Coturnix japonica: one gene and its partners. The protein of the gene in region 1 interacts with the protein of each later gene in a biochemical or structural test. Links are inferred from orthologs where the notes say so. Each region holds a gene or a part of one and is shown on either strand. Other genes may lie near its edges.

Region 1 (6,374 bases):
CTTTCTAGTATCTTGAAGGAAACATTTTACTGCCTAAGTGTGTAAATCACCTTTGATCAAACTTCTGAGGTTTGAAAGCACTTTTCCAGTAACCCAGACTCAGGGTATACAGTATATTTTAGCCTTGTTTATGGTAAGTCTTTGCAAAGTATCCTTAAAAAAAAAAAAGACTTGAATCTCCATGTCTTGCCCACGTGTATTTTGTCTGTTTGTAGGTTAATCCGCTTGTGCTTAGTTTTAAATGTTGAAACTAAGGTGATTATCCAGCTCTTAAGGCGGATTTCCTTTCTGCTTCTCCTACTTGACTTCAGAGTAGGTAGTTCAGACTTTTGCAGGTTATTTTTCTTGCAGTATCATCACTGCTGTGCTTATTGCTTAATTTTTTAGCATCTTTTCTACTTTAATATGCTCTTCCTTTTTTTTTTTTCTTTTCAAATTTACATTGTTTTGTAGTTTCTCAACCAACATGGTGGAGCTTTTCCAATGTTGTTACTTGAGATCAACTGAAGCAGGGAAATGAAGCTTTCTGATGTGAATTCAGCATGATATTCTAATGAACAAAATTGAACTAGGTGAAGGCAGCGATCCTAGCTAAAATTCTGTAGTTTTTATCCTAAAAAACGTCTGAGAATTGTGAGATTTTCTTGTTAGTCCATTCTTCCCTTTCAAAGTAATTCAAGAACTTACTTTCCTGAGTGGTTTTGTTTTTCTTCTTATGTTTGGGTGGGAGAAGAGAGGGCTTAAAGGTCTGACAGAGATTAAAACGTATTTCTAAAGAGGCGGTTGATACAAATGTGCTGTAGAGATAGCACAGAAGGTGAGGATTAAGGATTACCTGAGCCACTGTAATGTTCCAGTGTGACTTTTTGCTTTAAGGACTACTTAATTCTCAAGAATGTTCCCAGTCTGTTTCCCGTGCTGCCATGTCACCATCTGTTAATTTGGTTGCCTTAAAACCTTGTACTTAGGGTGCATGATGGCAAGAAATAAATGCTGCCACTGCATGTACTTTGTTATTTTTAAGAGAAGGCAACTTTTCACATTGAAAATATTAACTACATGCCAGGGATGACATGGAGCTGCAATCATCATTGCTTATAAATTGCTCTTGGAATCACTTCCTTAAAAAGAATGTCTTGAGAATCTGCATCTCTGGTTTTTATTTATGCTCATATGCCAAGATGACTAATAATCGTAGTGTGCTTTTGTCTGCGATAGCAATACACGTCCTTTACATCTTCCTAAGATTCAGTATGTTGCTATTTACTCCTGTATGTCGTATTCATTGCAGGCTAGTGGAAATGAGCAAGTCCCAGTTGTAGCGAGTTGTCTCTGTACGGTACAGTCAGTGTTGGGATATTGCCATTACTGTAGGGAAATGTTTGGGAGGGGGAAGTAAACAGAAGAAGGATTATTTTTTTTTATCCCCAAGAGAAATGATAAAGCTTTGAGGTGTTTGGTGGGGTTTGTTGTTGTTGCTGTTGGTTTTTACCTTTAAGTTTGCAAAGTCCATTAGAGTGCAGTCAACTTCACTTGTTGGTGACAAGGATATGCATCTGACTTCCCGATTTTTCTCCTTTTCCCATCTCCATTTGGGAAATTCTATGACCCAGCAGAAGGGGTCATTTGAGTGAGCTTGAGAACACATCATTTTAAAGCAGTCTTGGTTTTCTGAGGATGTGACATGGGTGATCTTTTTCATGCTGTGGTAATTGCTTTGGTCTTGTTGTGGGCACTGCGTAGCAGAGCCTCTGGAAAATCTGCAAACACTTGAGCTATACGAGCATTAGAAGAGGCCTTAACTCTACAAATATCCTCTGGCCAAACCCAAGAGAAACATAAATAGATTAGTTAGAAATCCAGAGATTTTTCCTCGTGACCATAAAGCCTGTATTAAACTAAGTATTTCTATGCACATTACTTGGGAGTTTCTTTCCAAATATTAACGCAGAGTTGAAATTATATATTTAATTAGAAATATGCTGTGCACGACTCCGTATCCCTTAATCCATCATTTTCAGCTTTTGTTGCTTTGATTGATTATTTTTTCCCCCTCTATTAGCTGTGCTGTTCTGGTACTAGAAGGGCTTGTAATGAAAATGCAGAACAGTCTTCTTGGGTTTTAGTGCTCCCCTCGCTGAGCTGCATAAACATGTTATTTAGAATGTTTTCTATTAGTATTTTTCAATACAATCACAGTCTCTTAGGGCTGCTGATGTTGTCATGTGTACATGAAGAGCAGTGCTGAATTTTTAGTGTGTTACTATTTCAAATGTAAGAAACTGCTTTTGCCTCATTGCTTTCTTTTCACATGTGAAGTATAACTCAGAACATCAACGTATACATTCTCCTCTCTGAGTTACTTTTGTAAAAGGTAAAATCTTTTGCTCTTACTAAACGCTTCCTCAAACTCTTTAAAATAATTTCTTTTTCAAGATAAACCCAAATTGCCTGAAAACTACACAGATGAAACCTGGCAAAAACTGAAAGAAGCTGTAGAAGCAATCCAGAACAGTACTTCCATTAAGTACAACTTAGAGGAGCTCTATCAGGTAAGTGCTTTAAGTACACTTAAGTACAAGTGTTGAGGTGAGGGATTTTCTCGGTGGTTTAGGGTTTTTTTTTTTGGTGTCTTTTCCTGTTGTTTGATCTTACAGCAATGGTAGGAACGTGACGTTCTGTTGACAAATAAGGCAAGTAGCTGTATTTGGGTTTTCTGGTGTGTGGCTGCTAAAGGAGAAATATGAAAGTCCTAAAATGGTGGTATTTAAGTAAGAAAAGGATTACTGACAGTTCTGATTGAGGCTCATAGGTAATTAATTTGAAAACCACCATTTTTTGTTTGCCTTTCTAAAAGTAAATATAATACTGTCTTGGTTCGGTTTGTCTGTAATTGCTTGTCATTCAGCATTATTTCTAACTGAGAACTAACATCTGTTTGTTTCCTGCAACAGCTCTGACTATTTTGCCCTAAACCTTTCAGGAAGTGATTGGTCTTAAGCTGCATCTCGTAACGTTTTATTTATAAACTTTTCTTTTTGAGTTAATGTGATAGGGAGTCGACTTTTCCTCCTTACTTACTCTGAACTTAAGGTTTTAGTGGCATTACTACTTAAGCTAGGTATAGGGAAGCACTCTCATTATTTTGAAAGGTTTTATTACAGTGTTGGTTGTTCTCTGTTTCTGTATCTGTTGTTCAGTTCATCTGTTTTTGAGTTTGTTCTTCCTCATTCCCTCCCTCCCCTTCTTGCTAAATATTGTTTTAGATTTGCCTGGTTTCTGTGAAAAGCTGGGGGCAGAAATGCAGTTTGCAGAAGGTTTGGGATCAGATCAAGGGGAAAAATAAGTTATTTTCCTTGTGAAACCTGGATCTTCCCAGGCCAAGTTCCTTGGTCTGGTGCATTTTTAAGGTTATGACAATTTTTTATAATGCTCAGTGGTGAAACTAATGGCAAAGTACAGACCACCAGATTAGTTCATATCTAAAATAACATGCTCTAGACTGAACAACAGAGCAAATAAGTGCACTGTATTCATAATGGCTTAAAGATGCAAGGTTGTTAATACAACTTTGTATTGTGCTATGAAGTTGCCACTTAAATTCCTGCTGCTTTTTCTCACAGCCTTCGTTTTTGATGACACTTGTGCTAACAAAAAAGGATAAGATTATTCTTTTAAATCTGTTTTAACATCGTAATGATGTAGATACATTTTAAGAAAATAGAGAAATCATACTTGATTGCACACTCATTTTTATAAATATAAAAGTGTTGTGATTTAAAATGATTGGGAATCACTGTTGTTTTTAGTGCATACTGATGTCATTTCTGAATAACTGTTTGGTAAATGGATCTGATTCCAAATGTGCCTTGGCAGACACTATCCAAGCATAGAGGAAGTTGCAGGAGTCTGCAGAAGTTGTTGCAGCACATATCAAAATAGGATGCCTTTTTTAATGGAGTTGTTTAGTTTCACTCTTGTCTGTGTTGGAAAAACTTGCTGAGCAGACACTGAAGTTTTGTTAGTTTGTGGCTGTTAGTTTTGCACTTACTCTATTCCCCCTCCAAGAGGAGAGAGAACACAGTTGTGAGAGGCTGAAATTCTGTGCGATTGACTGCAGCTTTATGGGAACAATTCTTCTGTTAATACCAGAAAGTAAAGATCTCGATCTTTGGTACCTTATCTATAATTACTTTTTTTCCCCTTAATTAATCACAGTACATCTGGGAAGTTCTGAGGTTCCCTTGTCAGAGCAGTGCTTGTTTTGTCCCTGCTTTCCCTAACACGAACCCTAGTTTGGATGCTTTAATTAAAAGACTAGAATTCATCTTGAACATGGATTCAGATGTTTTGACCATCTGTAAGACACCGATGTCTTCACGAAATGTTTTAATTTGGCAATTCAGAATAAAACCACCTGATGAATTACAGCTTCTAAAGTTATCAGGAATTCCTTAGATAGAATTATGTCTTGTAAGTCTAGCAATAAAATTGGCAGTAGCATTGCAGCAGCGTTGTGCTTCGTGGAGCAGATTTGGTAACGCTTTTATCTGTGCGCTTAGGAAGTTTGTCTTCTTAAAAATCATCATCATAATGCCAGTAAGTTGGGCAGAATTCACAGATTATAAATATTGTTGTGGTTGTTACCAGCAAAGGTGCAGCAGCTTTGTATTTGGTATTCAAGCACATGCCTTCTGTTTAAGATTTTGGGATTTCTGATGCACAAATGGGAAAGCACAGCTTTTATATGAATGATGTATAGAAGCAAGCACATGCTCATATGTGCTAATAGGTGTGTCTTTCTGCCTGCAGTGAAAAAGCCAAGTTTTATAAGGACTTGTGGCAGTGTGGTTAAATAGCACTTGGGTTGATAGGCAGCAGTGAGGAGGATGTTCAGCTGAAGTGGCTGAGCTGAGCTCTCAGCTGCTGGTGAAGTACGGTGAAATAGCTGCAGGGGTCAGAGTGCTGCTTAGAAGTGAGGCTGGCAGGGCTATGCGGGCAGCTAGCAAATCAGGAACATCCATCTTTCTTGCTCTTTGTTGTCTCCTCCAAAATAAGTGAGAGAAGTAGTAGTCTGCTTACTGCACTCGATGGAACTTTATCAGTCTCTTTAAATTTGGTGTTTTCAATCATTGTTTTCTTCTGAAATCAAAGTAGCCATTAAACAGCAGCAGATCTTGGGAATTAATGTTGAGCCTACCCCTATGGGTGGTACAGCACGATAGAGTTGATTGTCCTTCACAACCTACTCTGAAATGTAATCTGGAATGTGTTCTTATTGTATTGTTGTGTTTGTTTGGGATTCCTTCCATGTTAAGAGTTAAATTTATTGCTGTTTACAAATACTAAGATCTGTGTATTTTGACAATTTCTGTCTTTTCTAATAATCCGAACTCAGATGTCACATACCTGGCTCATATTTCTGTACATTGGTGCTTAGAAGATGCTGGCTCAGCTTTAATTGTCACGCTTACTCTTGCTCTACCTGTTTCTTTCTGTCGAGCTTATGCAAGTTTGATTTTCCTGTTGGCAGTGTTGGCTGGTTTTTATTTTGTTCCAGCTTTGCTGTGTCACAGAGCCCATATTTACTGACTGCACTTGTGCTGCCTACATCAAGAAGTGCTGTGTACCCCAGGAGTGATTACCAGTTTAACTGCTTTGATTATTGCTGTGCTTGTAATGGTGGCTGTTAGCAAGTATTTGAGGGGGCTTCAATGTGATGGAATAGGCGTGCTCTAATAAGACCTCATGTTTTAATCTGCTCAGGGCACAGCTCTCCTTTGTCTCTCAGTACAGTTGCAATGTCTTGTATCTCTAGTGTTTGGCATGAAGATGATGGACTCTGAGTGAGAAGCAGAAGAATCCCATGTCTTTTTTTTTCCTTGTAAAACCACATGTGAGAGCATAAACAGACTTCTTATAATTGCTTTCTCTTTATTTCAGGCTGTTGAAAATCTCTGCTCCTACAAGATTTCAGCAAACTTGTACAAACAATTGAGACAAATCTGTGAAGACCACATTAAAGCACAAATTCACCAGTTCAGAGAATATCCTTTTTAGCTGTTGACAAGCCAAAATGTTTTTACCTGCCAGTTTGTAGTGATGGATTTCTCTAAGTAGTTCATGACACTGAACTATGGTGAGCTGAATTCCTGGTTTTTGCATAGTTGGTTCTAAAGGTGCTTTTGTACGACCTCGTGAAGACCAATTCTGGTTCCTTTGTAACCATCTGCAAACTTGTTGAGAAAGTTTCATTAGTTCTTAAGAAACATTTTGACATTTTATAGAAGTTCAGATTAGACTTCAGAGTAAGACTTGAAAGACCGTTCATTGTATCACATGCTGAAATTGCCTCGTTCAGGTAAATAGGAAAG
Region 2 (5,752 bases), on another chromosome or scaffold:
AGCTCTTCCTGTAGAATGGGCTTCTGGACACAGCATTTGCATTTCTGCAGGGTACAGTGCCTCACACAGTATTCTCAAATAAAGAAAGTTTCAATGGCAGATTAGTAACATTGAGGGATAAATTGCCTGTCAGCAATATGCATCACACCAGTTGCTCTCTTTATAACAGCAATCACATAAAAAATACTGTTTTCTCTATAAAAATGATCCATTACCTGACATGAATAAAAGAGCATGAGTCTCTATGTATCATATTAATTTTCTATGCTCTGAGGATTTCAAGTGTTAATAGGCTTTATAACAGAAGAGTTTACCGATGTCCAACAACAAACTGTGTAATGCTGGCATATTACTCTGTCAGCTGTGCTAAATCTGGTCTCAGTACCACAGTGTCAACATCCAACATCCATCAGGTGCATCAGCCGCACACAACTTCAAGTCAGTTCTGTGGCTTTCTGTGGAAGTACGTGCAGATCTTCCTCATGGAAACTGGAGTGGTTACAGCCTACAAAAAAACAAAACCAACAAGACATGTTTCTGAGTTAACAGTTTGTATGCTGCAGAATTCTTAAAGTCTCCTTTCCATCACTGCTCCAGTTTTAGCTTCTCAAATCTGAGCTAGAATATACTATGTGGGAGAGATAATTGTTTTATGGTAATCACTCTCCAGGGCAAATCTTAGTCTTTATGTTTAAGCAGGTACACCATAAATCACAAGCACTTGCAGGTTTTCTTGGTACCACTACAAGATGAAGAGTTCAACTGCTGCGACCCAAGGTGTGGTGGTCTGCACACTTCACACCTTGTAGAAGTACTGAAAGAGATGCGAGATATTTCAGCAAAACAGGCCCTAAACATGGCAGCAACTTCTAGCATCAAACATTCACTTGAAAATAAAGCGAAATTTTGACAATTGGAAATTTACTTGGAAAGCACTGAAATAATATTCAGTCAAAGATGCTTTAGGACCTAGAGCCCAGTTTCAGAGTTTAGTTTGTTTTTTAAATATGTAATTTCTCAGTATGCATGTTAAATCCTCCAGTCCTCATGCCAACTTCTCTAGCTGCTTTATAAGCAGGTCATTCAGATCCTAGGATGAGCTCAGTGACAGGTTTCTTATATAGCAAAACTAAGATTATGTAGGTCAAATCCCACCCTCTGACTCTTCTGCGATTCCTTTGTTTTCTGTTAGTTTTCAGTAGAAAGAACTGGAGGCATTACTTAGCTCACGGTTTTAACATGGGTAAAAAGTTCTCTGCTGCTTGGGCTAGAATAAAATTTAGCTCTTTCTTCCAGTGCTCAAGTGGCTTTTCAGTAGTATTAACAGGCAGATGTGACACTGAACAGTAGATCTGCCAGGAAAGGTGCTGTCATTATTGCACTTCTCAGAGAAGAGCTGTATTTCAGAAGACAGCCACAGCCTTCAAACATCCAGCTGGGAGCTATGAGGATTTCTTAGCTTCTGTGTGCTCTAAGTCCTTCTCAAAGGAGGTACAGGACCATCTTAAGAATTCTCCTCCAGCACAGAATGGATTAGTGTATTACAGCATTAATATACCTAGATTATTAAGCGAGAAATAATCTCTTGTCCATAATTAAAGATAGCAGACAATTCTCCAAGCGTTTATGAGAGATCTGACCGTGTGTAGAAAGGGGACAGTGGTACCTAGGAATAACTTCTCTCGTTACCACTGCCCCTGATCATCCTACTTACAGCTTTTGGTGAGGTGGTCGCTACCGCAGCCTCTTGACGTTTTGCACTGGAGTTGTAAGATGATGGGGGGCTGCCAGCTTTGCCAGTCCGTAGCCTCTCTCCCAGAGCAGACAGCCAGTTTCTTCTTTCTGGTGAACTATTCTCTTTATCTACAACATCTGAGTGTCTCTCACCAGGAGACTGTAAAACAAGAGGGGGAGTTGAAGTGCCGGATGGATTAACATGATTTCCAGGAAAAGAAAGCTCTTTTGGGCTGTGGCTCTTGTCTTCATGCTCATTATCCAAGTCAGCCAGATTTAGAGAGCCCTCATCACAAGCTCTTTGGCCTGCAGCCAAGTGACATAAATTTAGCTTGGACTTCTTAGCCACATGGTCCAGTTCAGTCACACAGCTACAGGCCTGCAGACACTTCTGCCCTGCTTCATCTTCCTTGCTGCAGTCCAGCCTTCTCTTGGCACGCTTTTCAGCCTGTAAGTGTTGTGCTTTAGGAGTGCTAGATGTTTCCAAGAGACTTTGTGTGACTTCTGCCAGGGCTTTTCTAGGAGAAGGTGTCTTTTTCCCTACTTCTGGGGAAGAGCAGGGAGTCCTGGCAATCCAGTGTTTAATGGACATTTTGGAGGAAGGCGCCAGTTTGGGAGAAGCACGTGGGCTGACTCCACTCAGCTTTGCTGGAGTGCAGACTGAGGCCATTTGTGTTTTGAGAGAGATTGTTGGAGTGTTTGTAGATAGAGGAAGGTCTCCAGAATAACTGGGAGCACAGGCAGCTGGACGTGGTGAGGAAGCACATGGGTTGCCCACTGAGAAGGCCTTGGCAGGAGTATTCTGCGGGCTGGCTGATCGTGCTGATGGAGCAAAAATAAGCAGTCTGATGAGAAACGCAGAGCAGCAGACTAAAAACAGCCCTTTCATACCTGTCCCAGCTAGGAGATTAATTCAGTGCTGCCCCCGATTCTCAGATATACCCTGCTGAATTAGATTGCATGGATGCTTCTTTTAACAGTTAAACTGATACAAGTCCACATAATCCTGTATCACTTGGCTAAGTATAATACAGTACGTTGGCTTAATGTCTGACTTCTATTCCTTCTATGACTAGAACCCTTACTTAAGCTGTAGCTGAGGGACTAATGGATAGACAAAACAGATCTTGAATCTTCTAAGTTTATCGAGCCTTGCTGGCAGCTTTGCAATAGCTCAGTCCAGACAGCTCTGTTTTGGGAAGCTGCCTGAAAACAAGGCTGGCTCTCTATTCACAGCTGGTCAGTCTATCTGCCCAATCTTTAACAGTTTCATGATTGAATTAAGGGACAAAGGTACCAAAGGTACAATTAGCAGGTCCCATAGCTAATTGTACCAGGAAAGCTTTATTATGCAGTGCCATGCCACAGGATCAATGCTCCTGGTCAAGCATTAACAATTGCAATTTTTTAAGATGAAAAAAAATGAGAATGGGAAAGTACATACTTTCACCTTCTTGTCTTTTTGATGGAGAATTTTCTGCATTGCTATTTTAGGACAAAGATGGCAGTTATTTACCACACCCAATGACATATGAGAAATTCTTCACCTCCCCAGCAAGGATTTAAATTCCCAAGAAAAAAAAAATCTGTCACTGGCCTTTAAAACAAATGACCTCCTGACAAATACGTCATAATGGTGTTTGAGCTCACTAGTCAGGCTGTTAAAATCCCCTGCTTTTAAAGCAGAAGCTTCTGAAAACCCAGGTTATTAATACAATAGTCAGAGGGTAGCTTTACACCTAAGACTTCACAAGGTCCTTAACAGTAACAGCGGGCATCATATATAGCAAAGATCTCAGTCTGCAGAAATACTAGAGAATTTTTTTTATAGGACACTCCAACAGAGAACACATTTACATGTCTTTTAGATGCCTGCACATCTAACTTGGGGTGATGCAATCAAATAAGATAGCATAAGATAAGACTCCAAGCGTTTCCTCTCCCAGGCACAAGAGCTCTGACTGTTTTCAGTTTTCCAAAGGTTTAATCCAAACTCATAATTTTCTACATTAGCTGCTGTAAAGTACTTCATTACAACAATGAGAAATCTAGTGTGAATAACTTGCCTTTTTCATTAGGATGTAGGGCTGTCTCACAAACAACATGTCAAGTGAACACCTACATGACTCTTTGATACCATTACAAGCCTCTTTTGACCCTTCCTCTTATTACATTATCTAGCCCTTTAAAATAAACGACCGGTGCATGAGATCAAAAGGAATATGACACCATATTAATGGATCTCACTACAAATCACCTAAAAGCAGAGAGAATTAAAGGCTCCTTTCCAGACAAAATGTGCTACTTCATAATAACTTACTTCAACTTGGACTAAGAGAAAATCACTGCCAAGATTGGGTCTCTTAATCTTCACTTTAATGAGCACTTACAGAACAATAATATCTCAGCTGGGGAACCCAATGCATTTTCAAAATTAAGCTCCTAGAGGTAGAAGAAAAGAAGCAAGCTCAGCAGTTCTCGTTCTCTAATGACCATCTACAAATCCGCACAGCAGAAATGTGGCATGATCAGCTGGGTTTGAGCACTCTCAATCCCATACCAATGTGAAAGCTACACTGTGGAGACCTTGGATAACAGAAAAAAAGCTGTTATGAGAGCTGGAGGGGGGTCATGGCAAAAAGCAAACTAGTTATATCCCCAAACTTAAGACAAGGATACATTAATCAGGCTTCTGCTGAGCCAGTCTCAAGCTGCTCCCCTTCATGCTGCCATTCCACATAGCATTGCATGTCTCCATATACTGTATCTGCAGTCAAGTTGAATAACACCAATGCAGATATCTGAGAAATTTCTCACCTTTTCTGCTGCAAATTCTTTAGAATGGTATTATGAACCTCCAGATTTAAGAGTCATGAATTTTCCATGCGCAGACCTGCTCCAGGAATTTGGTTACACAAAAGCATAGAGAAAGTAGTGCAAATTAGGGAAACCACAGAAACAGTTTCCAAAGGAAAGGAAACTCTGCTTCCTACACTCCATAATATAGGTCAACAGTTAATGTGCATCCTACGCCTCACAATTCATTCCACACAAATGGGTGGAGAACTACCTAGACTTCATCCCAGCCGGTCTGAAATACTACTTAGTTGCATGCTCTGAATCAGTCTCTGCAGATAACTCCTATATTTTAACAGCATGTGCTTTGTGTTCAAGAGCCAAGGTCAGCAGGAAGCCTGCTGTTGTGTTTGCAGTGTCTGTGCACTTCCTTTTCCCTCCTGTGTTGCTTTAATGCAGCAAGAAATAAGCTATTTTTCTAGTGTAATTGCTGAAGCCGACTTGTAAAGTTTCAGCATACAAATCACTTTGGATTTCAGACTTCTACACTAGACTCACATTTACTTCTCTTCTGCAGAAATTAATACACAAAGTGTACTTCTCAGCCTGCTCTGAAGCAGTATGAATGCACACACAAACCGTAAACCCTCAGCAGAGCAGAGCTGGCACTCTCCCTGCTATTGTCTTGCAAACTTCCTGCAAGACTGTTACTCAATGGCAAAAGGTTAGATGTAATATTATCACTTTAGTGGGATTTGGAGACCTTCAGCCCTTATATGTGTTAGCCAAAGTGAAATTTATTCAGAGAGTGGCTAGAAAAGATAGGTAGAACAGAGGAACTCAAGCCAACAGCTGCTGGAAAGCTATTGTATTACCAGTTTCAAAGCCATGCTACAGAGAAGCTCACCTTATTTCTCTCTGTCAGGGTTATTTGCCTCTCACCCACCCTACTGTAACAAAATGCAAGTTTCAAGCAAGTCAAAGTAGCACTATGATGCAAGATTCCTTTCTTTTCTCTGGGGTACTGCCCAGTGAGCTGCTCCTCTTCCAGAGAGTAGCAGCAATTCACAACCAAGGCTACACTACAGACATACAACTGAATTTTCCTGCTGGCAGTTCTTCAGATGGATATATTGTCATGATCTTGATCAACCTTAGATATTCCTGAGCGTGGCAGAGCTGAGATCTGCCTGCTAGCTGTGAGAGCATGCTGGATTTTTTG
Region 3 (5,939 bases), on another chromosome or scaffold:
CCCCACCCTTATGTCATCTGTGGGCTTTCCCCACAAGCCCTCAAACAAGCAGCTGCTTTGGAACTTCAGAAGCGTCCCAAGTTGATGCCAAGTGGAACGGCTGCAGTTTGCTGCAGCTCCCACTGGAGTTCACTGCCGCTCTGCCAGTGTCTCAACGGGGACAGGTCCTGACCAAGTGGCAGCTCCCAGCAGAAAAGCTCTGGGCCCTGCACAGAGCAGCCCTCCATGGCACCAGGCCTTTGAGAACCTCTTGCTAGAGCAACACAGCCCAGAAGATCTTTTCCCAACCATGATGGAAATTTTTCCATAGGTAGTTTGGCTCTGGTTACAGAAATGGACATGTGTAAATGCTCTGCAACACATCCACTGAGAATGGGCCTGAAGACTCTTCCAGAAACCATGCAAGGAGAGGGAACAGGAGATGCCAGGCTGAGCTGAAGCAGAAGCATTTTTTTTCCAGGCTCTGTTTTTGTTTTCAAGCAGAGCAGTAAACAGCTCTGCCCAGACCTGTGCTGCCCTGTGCTGCTCGAGTCCTCAGCTGAGACAAAGCTCCTCCAGCTCCCAGTGTCGGCACATCCTCCTGCCACCCGACACTGAGGCTATAGGGATGCATGAAGCCTTCCTCATCACACAAGGGAATCCCGTTTTTCAGGCTGCTCTCCTGTCAGATCAGGGATGTGGTTGGCTCAGGGCAGGTTTTAGAGTCTCATTAACACTCTGCAATGAGGCCTGGCAGCAGCTGATTTGATTTAAGGTTCATTTCCAGGCTGTGATTTAAGAGAAGATTTGCTTAATGTTCTCTAACAGACTCTTCTGACTGGGAGCCTGAGTGCTGCCTAATGACAGCCTTATTTATTGTAACATCTTTGCAGTGCAGAGTCTAGAGGAGCAGAGCAGAAGCACAGCAGCTGCTGGCAGGTGATCTGATGGCAGAGGAAGCATCCCTCAGTGCAGACAGTGGTAACAGACGCTGGGGCGTGCATTCCTTTATCCAGGACAGCCAGACCCTGGATCTCTTTTCTGCTTCAAGAGTTCAGCAAGACAGATCCCTCTCTGCTTGTCTAAGATGGACAGAGCTGTTACGTACCATTTTGAACAGGACAGGGGAAATGCTCCACTTTCTCTCTGTTGCAGTACCTGAATGATAGGAAATGCAGAAGTGCCTGCTCATCCCCAGACTGGTTGAAAGGCAAATTGCAATTGAGATTCTCTATTCCTCCCCTCTGCTGCATAGTTGAAAGCCTTCCACTCCAACGCTGAGCCTGCCATCCTTCCGGAAAGGGAATGACCATTATCTGACGTTTGTAAGCTACCCTGAGTTCCTGAGCTGGATGTACCTATCTCCCAAAGTCAATCCCATAGAGATCCATCACACAAATGAAGACAGTAGGTCAAGCAAGGGTTTGTCATATTTTAATGACATTAATCTTTGGTGTTTCCCTCGTTAGCACTCACACTCTCCCCGTCCTTCCTCCACAAACCTGCTAGGGATGGAGAGTTACAAACGAAAAGGAAAATCACATTTGAGACTAAAAACAGAATATCAGAGCCTTGATTTCTCCACTAGAAACTACATGTACAAGGTCAAGATTTCACATGCAACACCTTACATCACAGACCCATACCTCACACCCTGGCCTGGAGCTCAAAGACATTTCCTGCCCCCTGCCAAGGAGGTGCAGCTCAGTCCTGGCACCATGAAACCACTGGGATGGCTCATTCATGTTAAATGTTGGCACAACTTATGAACTGCATCCTGACTGGAGAGCAGTAGCCCCTGTCCCTCTATTCATCTACATAGCAGCTCTGCTTAGGTTCCTGGCAAGTACTAACCTAATTTCTAAGAAGGAAAGATCCCCACGTGTAAGCAGTTCCCGAGCCATGAAGGTTTTGATGAATCCTAGCTCTTCCCAGAAAAGACCACAGCACAGGACTGTGTCCTGGAAGACTCCTCTGCTCCAGCAACAGCGCTGGAGCATCACGCCCAGGTTTGCACAGGAGGGCTGCCAGTCTCCAGAAGGATGCTGCAGGCCTGTTTCCCTTCACTCTGCTGATCAGCCCCTATGCATAAATGGGCAGGAAAGAGGAAAGGGGAGAAGCATTACAAAGAATGACACTGACCAAACTGCAGGGTTGAGCTCAGGGGATCCCACACGACTTCAAAATCTGCATGGAGTACAGCCAGTATTGTTTATATTCCTGTTCTTATTCAGCAGTGGGAATGTTGGAAGTTAAGATACTATGCTTTCTTGCCCATGGCTTCCTCGCAGTTCTTATCCATTGCCACTCACCCAGGACATAGAAACCCTCTGAACTACCAACATCCTGTTGGAGCCACATGTCCCTACTCTTCCAGCTTCCGGCCAGCTGTGAGGTACAGGTCTCTGCTGAGCAGTACAAGGGTAGCACCAACACACAACTCATTTCTACCTGTTCCGCGACTCCCCACTGGTGCTGTCATTACTATAGAAGTTGGTACTGTCAGGAAGATGGTTATTATTAGTTAGGTCACTGTATTCGATTGGTCCCTCAGTGTCCATGGAGGGCTGGGCCTGCTCCGGCAGGTCCAGGTCACCAGTGCCTCGTCCTTCACTCCCACCAGAAGATGTCCGCGGGCTCAGGCCGTGCTCCGACAGCTGCATAGACTCTGAAAGGATCCGTCCCTCCAGCTCAGATGCCAGCTGCTGTGAGGTGGACTGATGTGCTGATGTTCCCTCAGCTCCAGTGGACTCCGCACCAGTCTGAGAGCTGCGGTGGATCCGGTGACTCACTATGATGTTGTTGCCAAAGCCACCCATGGACGCCATGGTGGTGCTCTGCTCCCGCTGCACCACAGCAGTCATGCCACCTTCTGCCATCAGCCTTTGTATCCTGCTCAGGGCATCCTCCCCACCGGCCCCGTATTCTGGACCTTCACCTGCAAAGAGAGAGCAAAAGCAACTTTGGTGCATCAGGCAGACTAAAGCACCAAGAAAATGCATGCACAATGTCACTGAATAACAGGGCACGTGTGCTGGGACAGAAGACAGGCTTTGCTCCAGTGGAAGTTCAGTATTTCATTTCTGTAACTTTCCTTCAAATGCCAAACAAATGCAGTGCCCTTAGTCAAGAAGTCCAGTGTGTAGGTTCCTGCTCTCCCCAACAGGTATTTTTTCGAGGAACATCTCTTAAGGTTTTTGTTTACTCTCCCTCAAACTTCCCCTCATAATCTGGTTGTACTGAGCTCTGAGGGAACCACTGTCAAATGCCTCTGAAAAAGAAAATCTCTTGGAAAAATAGCCCATGTAGATTAAAACCCACAGCAGGAACATTCAAGCCCAGTTCTGTTTTTCACCATTCTCCTTTTGCTACAAACCTTAACCAGACCGTCTGGGGAAAACAATCAGTAATCATGAACTGCCAGAATCATTCCACAGTGGGATCCTGACGATTCTTATTAAAGAGATAAATCTCACTCCCAGCTCCATGAAGCTATCACAGTGCTGATTAGAGGAGGAGAAAACCACGAGCTCTCCTGGCACCAAAGAAATCAACACAAATGTCAACAAGGCTAAGATGTAGGCTGAAGTTAAAACACAACAAAAACCAAAATGCCACGCTGACTAGGAAGACAAAACACCTGGGACTGTGGGATAGAGATCGTGTCTCCAGTATGGGAGCTGGGATATTCAGCACAGACAACACCATGCTGCTGTAGATGTTATTTTTTGTGGAAAAAACAAGATAGTTAAAGCTGTTAACATTTATGCAGTCAGTCGGTGACAGCTTACTCCTTTTATTCTCTGTCTCAGTGGTATTTGCATCAAATACCATTGACTTCCTCCACCACAGAGTATGCCTAATTTCTTCAAGCAAGCCTGCTGACATACTGCCCTGCTGTAGAAACACAGCAGATATTAAGGGCAAGCTTAATTCTCACAAGCAGAATAAGTCCTTTTCTGCTAGGAACGTAGCAAGTCTGCTATATCAACCATACATACAACAATTACATAGCTCCTTGATTAGGGCATTAGCGAGACTGTGGAGACACCAGTAATCACATGAGAATTTGGAGCAGAGCCCAGAGGATTGTGCAAGAACACCGACTGTGCAGAGCATGGCCAGTAACTGCAAGCAAAGAAATCCTATCCAGGATGTTGATGCATGAGCTAGGAACCAGACTGACCAGCACAAGGAAGACCAAGAACAGAATAAGGAAGGATTGGAAGGACTGGAAACTTCAGTGTGAAAAACATGAATGCCAGGTAATATTGGAACATCAATCTTGAGCAGGAGTAAGTGGAAGGTTTGAGAAGCATGGTTTTGAATTCAGTCGCTGCTGCTTCCTTCTGGGGACACAGTCATAAGCACTTCATTACCAACCATCTGGTCAGGCCAGACAGGAAGCTTGAGAAAGCCAAGATGTGCAACCTGGTTGAGAGGAATGCCAGCCCACCCTACCTACACAAGCCCTGGAACAGCAGGTACTGTGCTCTTGACAGATCGCCTGCTATAAGCTGGCCCATGCAGGAGTGCTGGAACTGTGTATCAGCCAGGATCCCCAGCCGATACTCCTTAACATTACAAACATATGCTTCACAAGAGGAGTCCATGCACACAGCGCACACTGCAGCATCTCCTGCTATTCCCATCCCCTTAATTACTACACGTTATGGCTGAACTGCCAGTTAAGGCACATGCCTCCTCAGAGAACAGGCCAGGGCTGATGCCATAGTAGGAATTGGAAGGTCAGAAGTCCTCAGACTACAAGAACTGAGACACAGACATGCTGGAAATGCCAGAAAGACAGATTATCGAAGGCCAGAAGTCAGCTTTACCATTCAAGTGGCCAAGAAGCACCTCTACTCTGGGAGTTAGGGAGTTGTCCTCTCCCCTTCCCACTCTCCTCAGGTTTCAGTTTCAGCTGACTGGATCAGAGCAAAGCTTCCTGAGCAGCGTGCCTTGTGCTGAACAACAGCACAGATTCATATAACAGCCTATTTCTACTGTCTGGTGACTCCCACACATGTTCTTCACCATGCTGCCAAGGCAGACCACACTAGTTCTCCATGCAAGTGAAATAAGCTAACTTTCATTTAGTGGACATTCAGGCTACATACCCAGGCACTTACCCAAAACAGCAAGTGACCTGAACCCAAACCCAAGGTCACCAGAAATTCCAGCTTGATGTAGTGGTGTGAGCTGACCCACTAATTCAGATGCTCAAAGATAAAAATAAAAGCATTTTAAAATTAATTCATGTAATGTAGAGGGAGAGGAAGGGGAGGGTCACAGCTCTGCCTAACCAGCTATGAATAACAGCATCTCCCTTAGTGCCAGAATAAATACTACCAGTTACTTTCCTCCCCAGCCTGCTCAGAAGCATGCTCACACTCCCTGTCTGAGGTGGCTAATTCGAACAGAAAAGGCACAGCTGCTTTGACTCATAACCAATTTCTTAACAATAACTTACCTTGGTGATTGGAAGAGTGAAACTTATTTTTCTCATTAGAGTTTAAAAATTGCTCTATAATTTAATCCCAAGAGAGTCAGGTACTTGAAGTACTTAGCACTGTAAAGGCTTGCACAGTACCTGAAGACTATTTTTTTACAGGGAGCATTTTTCAGAGGGCTTTAAAGAAAAAGTGAACTTTGCTGTTCTGTCGGGCGCGTGACACACTGTACAGATCTGCAGCTCTATAGGACACGCTACATTTTACAGATGGGCAGGCAGATGAAAGGTTAAGGGACCTGCCCACGTTTCTGCCTGCAGAATGAGAGGCAGATCTGTAAATAGAGCCCTGGTGTCCCGGTTCCCACACTGATCACAAAAAGTCACATCACATATGACAACAGCATCACAGGAACGTGTTCAGCTAATGCAAAATGGTATGTTTCTCCATAGCACACGTGAGGCACAGCTGCTATCGGGGTATTCCTGCCCATGCAGTCCCTCAGCA

The links.
Region 2: the proteins of CUL4B (region 1) and DTL form a complex in vitro, tested with the Homo sapiens proteins (2 studies listed by BioGRID). The link is inferred for Coturnix japonica from reciprocal best matches to the Homo sapiens genes CUL4B and DTL.
Region 3: the proteins of CUL4B (region 1) and AMBRA1 form a complex in vitro, tested with the Homo sapiens proteins (2 studies listed by BioGRID, with this or other methods). The link is inferred for Coturnix japonica from reciprocal best matches to the Homo sapiens genes CUL4B and AMBRA1.

What each region holds. Positions count from the first base shown.
Region 1 is NC_029519.1:15,294,889-15,301,262, forward strand, and holds part of CUL4B (cullin-4B), read left to right. Parts: intron 1-2,436; coding exon 2,437-2,552; intron 2,553-5,943; coding exon 5,944-6,047; intron 6,048-6,374.
Region 2 is NC_029518.1:19,431,349-19,437,100, forward strand, and holds part of DTL (denticleless protein homolog), read right to left. Parts: intron 2,557-5,752; coding exon 1,715-2,556; intron 506-1,714; coding exon 440-505; 3' UTR 1-439. UniProt on the Homo sapiens protein: Substrate-specific adapter of a DCX (DDB1-CUL4-X-box) E3 ubiquitin-protein ligase complex required for cell cycle control, DNA damage response and translesion DNA synthesis.
Region 3 is NC_029520.1:21,104,404-21,110,342, reverse strand, and holds the end of AMBRA1 (activating molecule in BECN1-regulated autophagy protein 1), read right to left. Parts: intron 2,918-5,939; coding exon 2,427-2,917; 3' UTR 1,392-2,426; downstream 1-1,391. UniProt on the Homo sapiens protein: Substrate-recognition component of a DCX (DDB1-CUL4-X-box) E3 ubiquitin-protein ligase complex involved in cell cycle control and autophagy.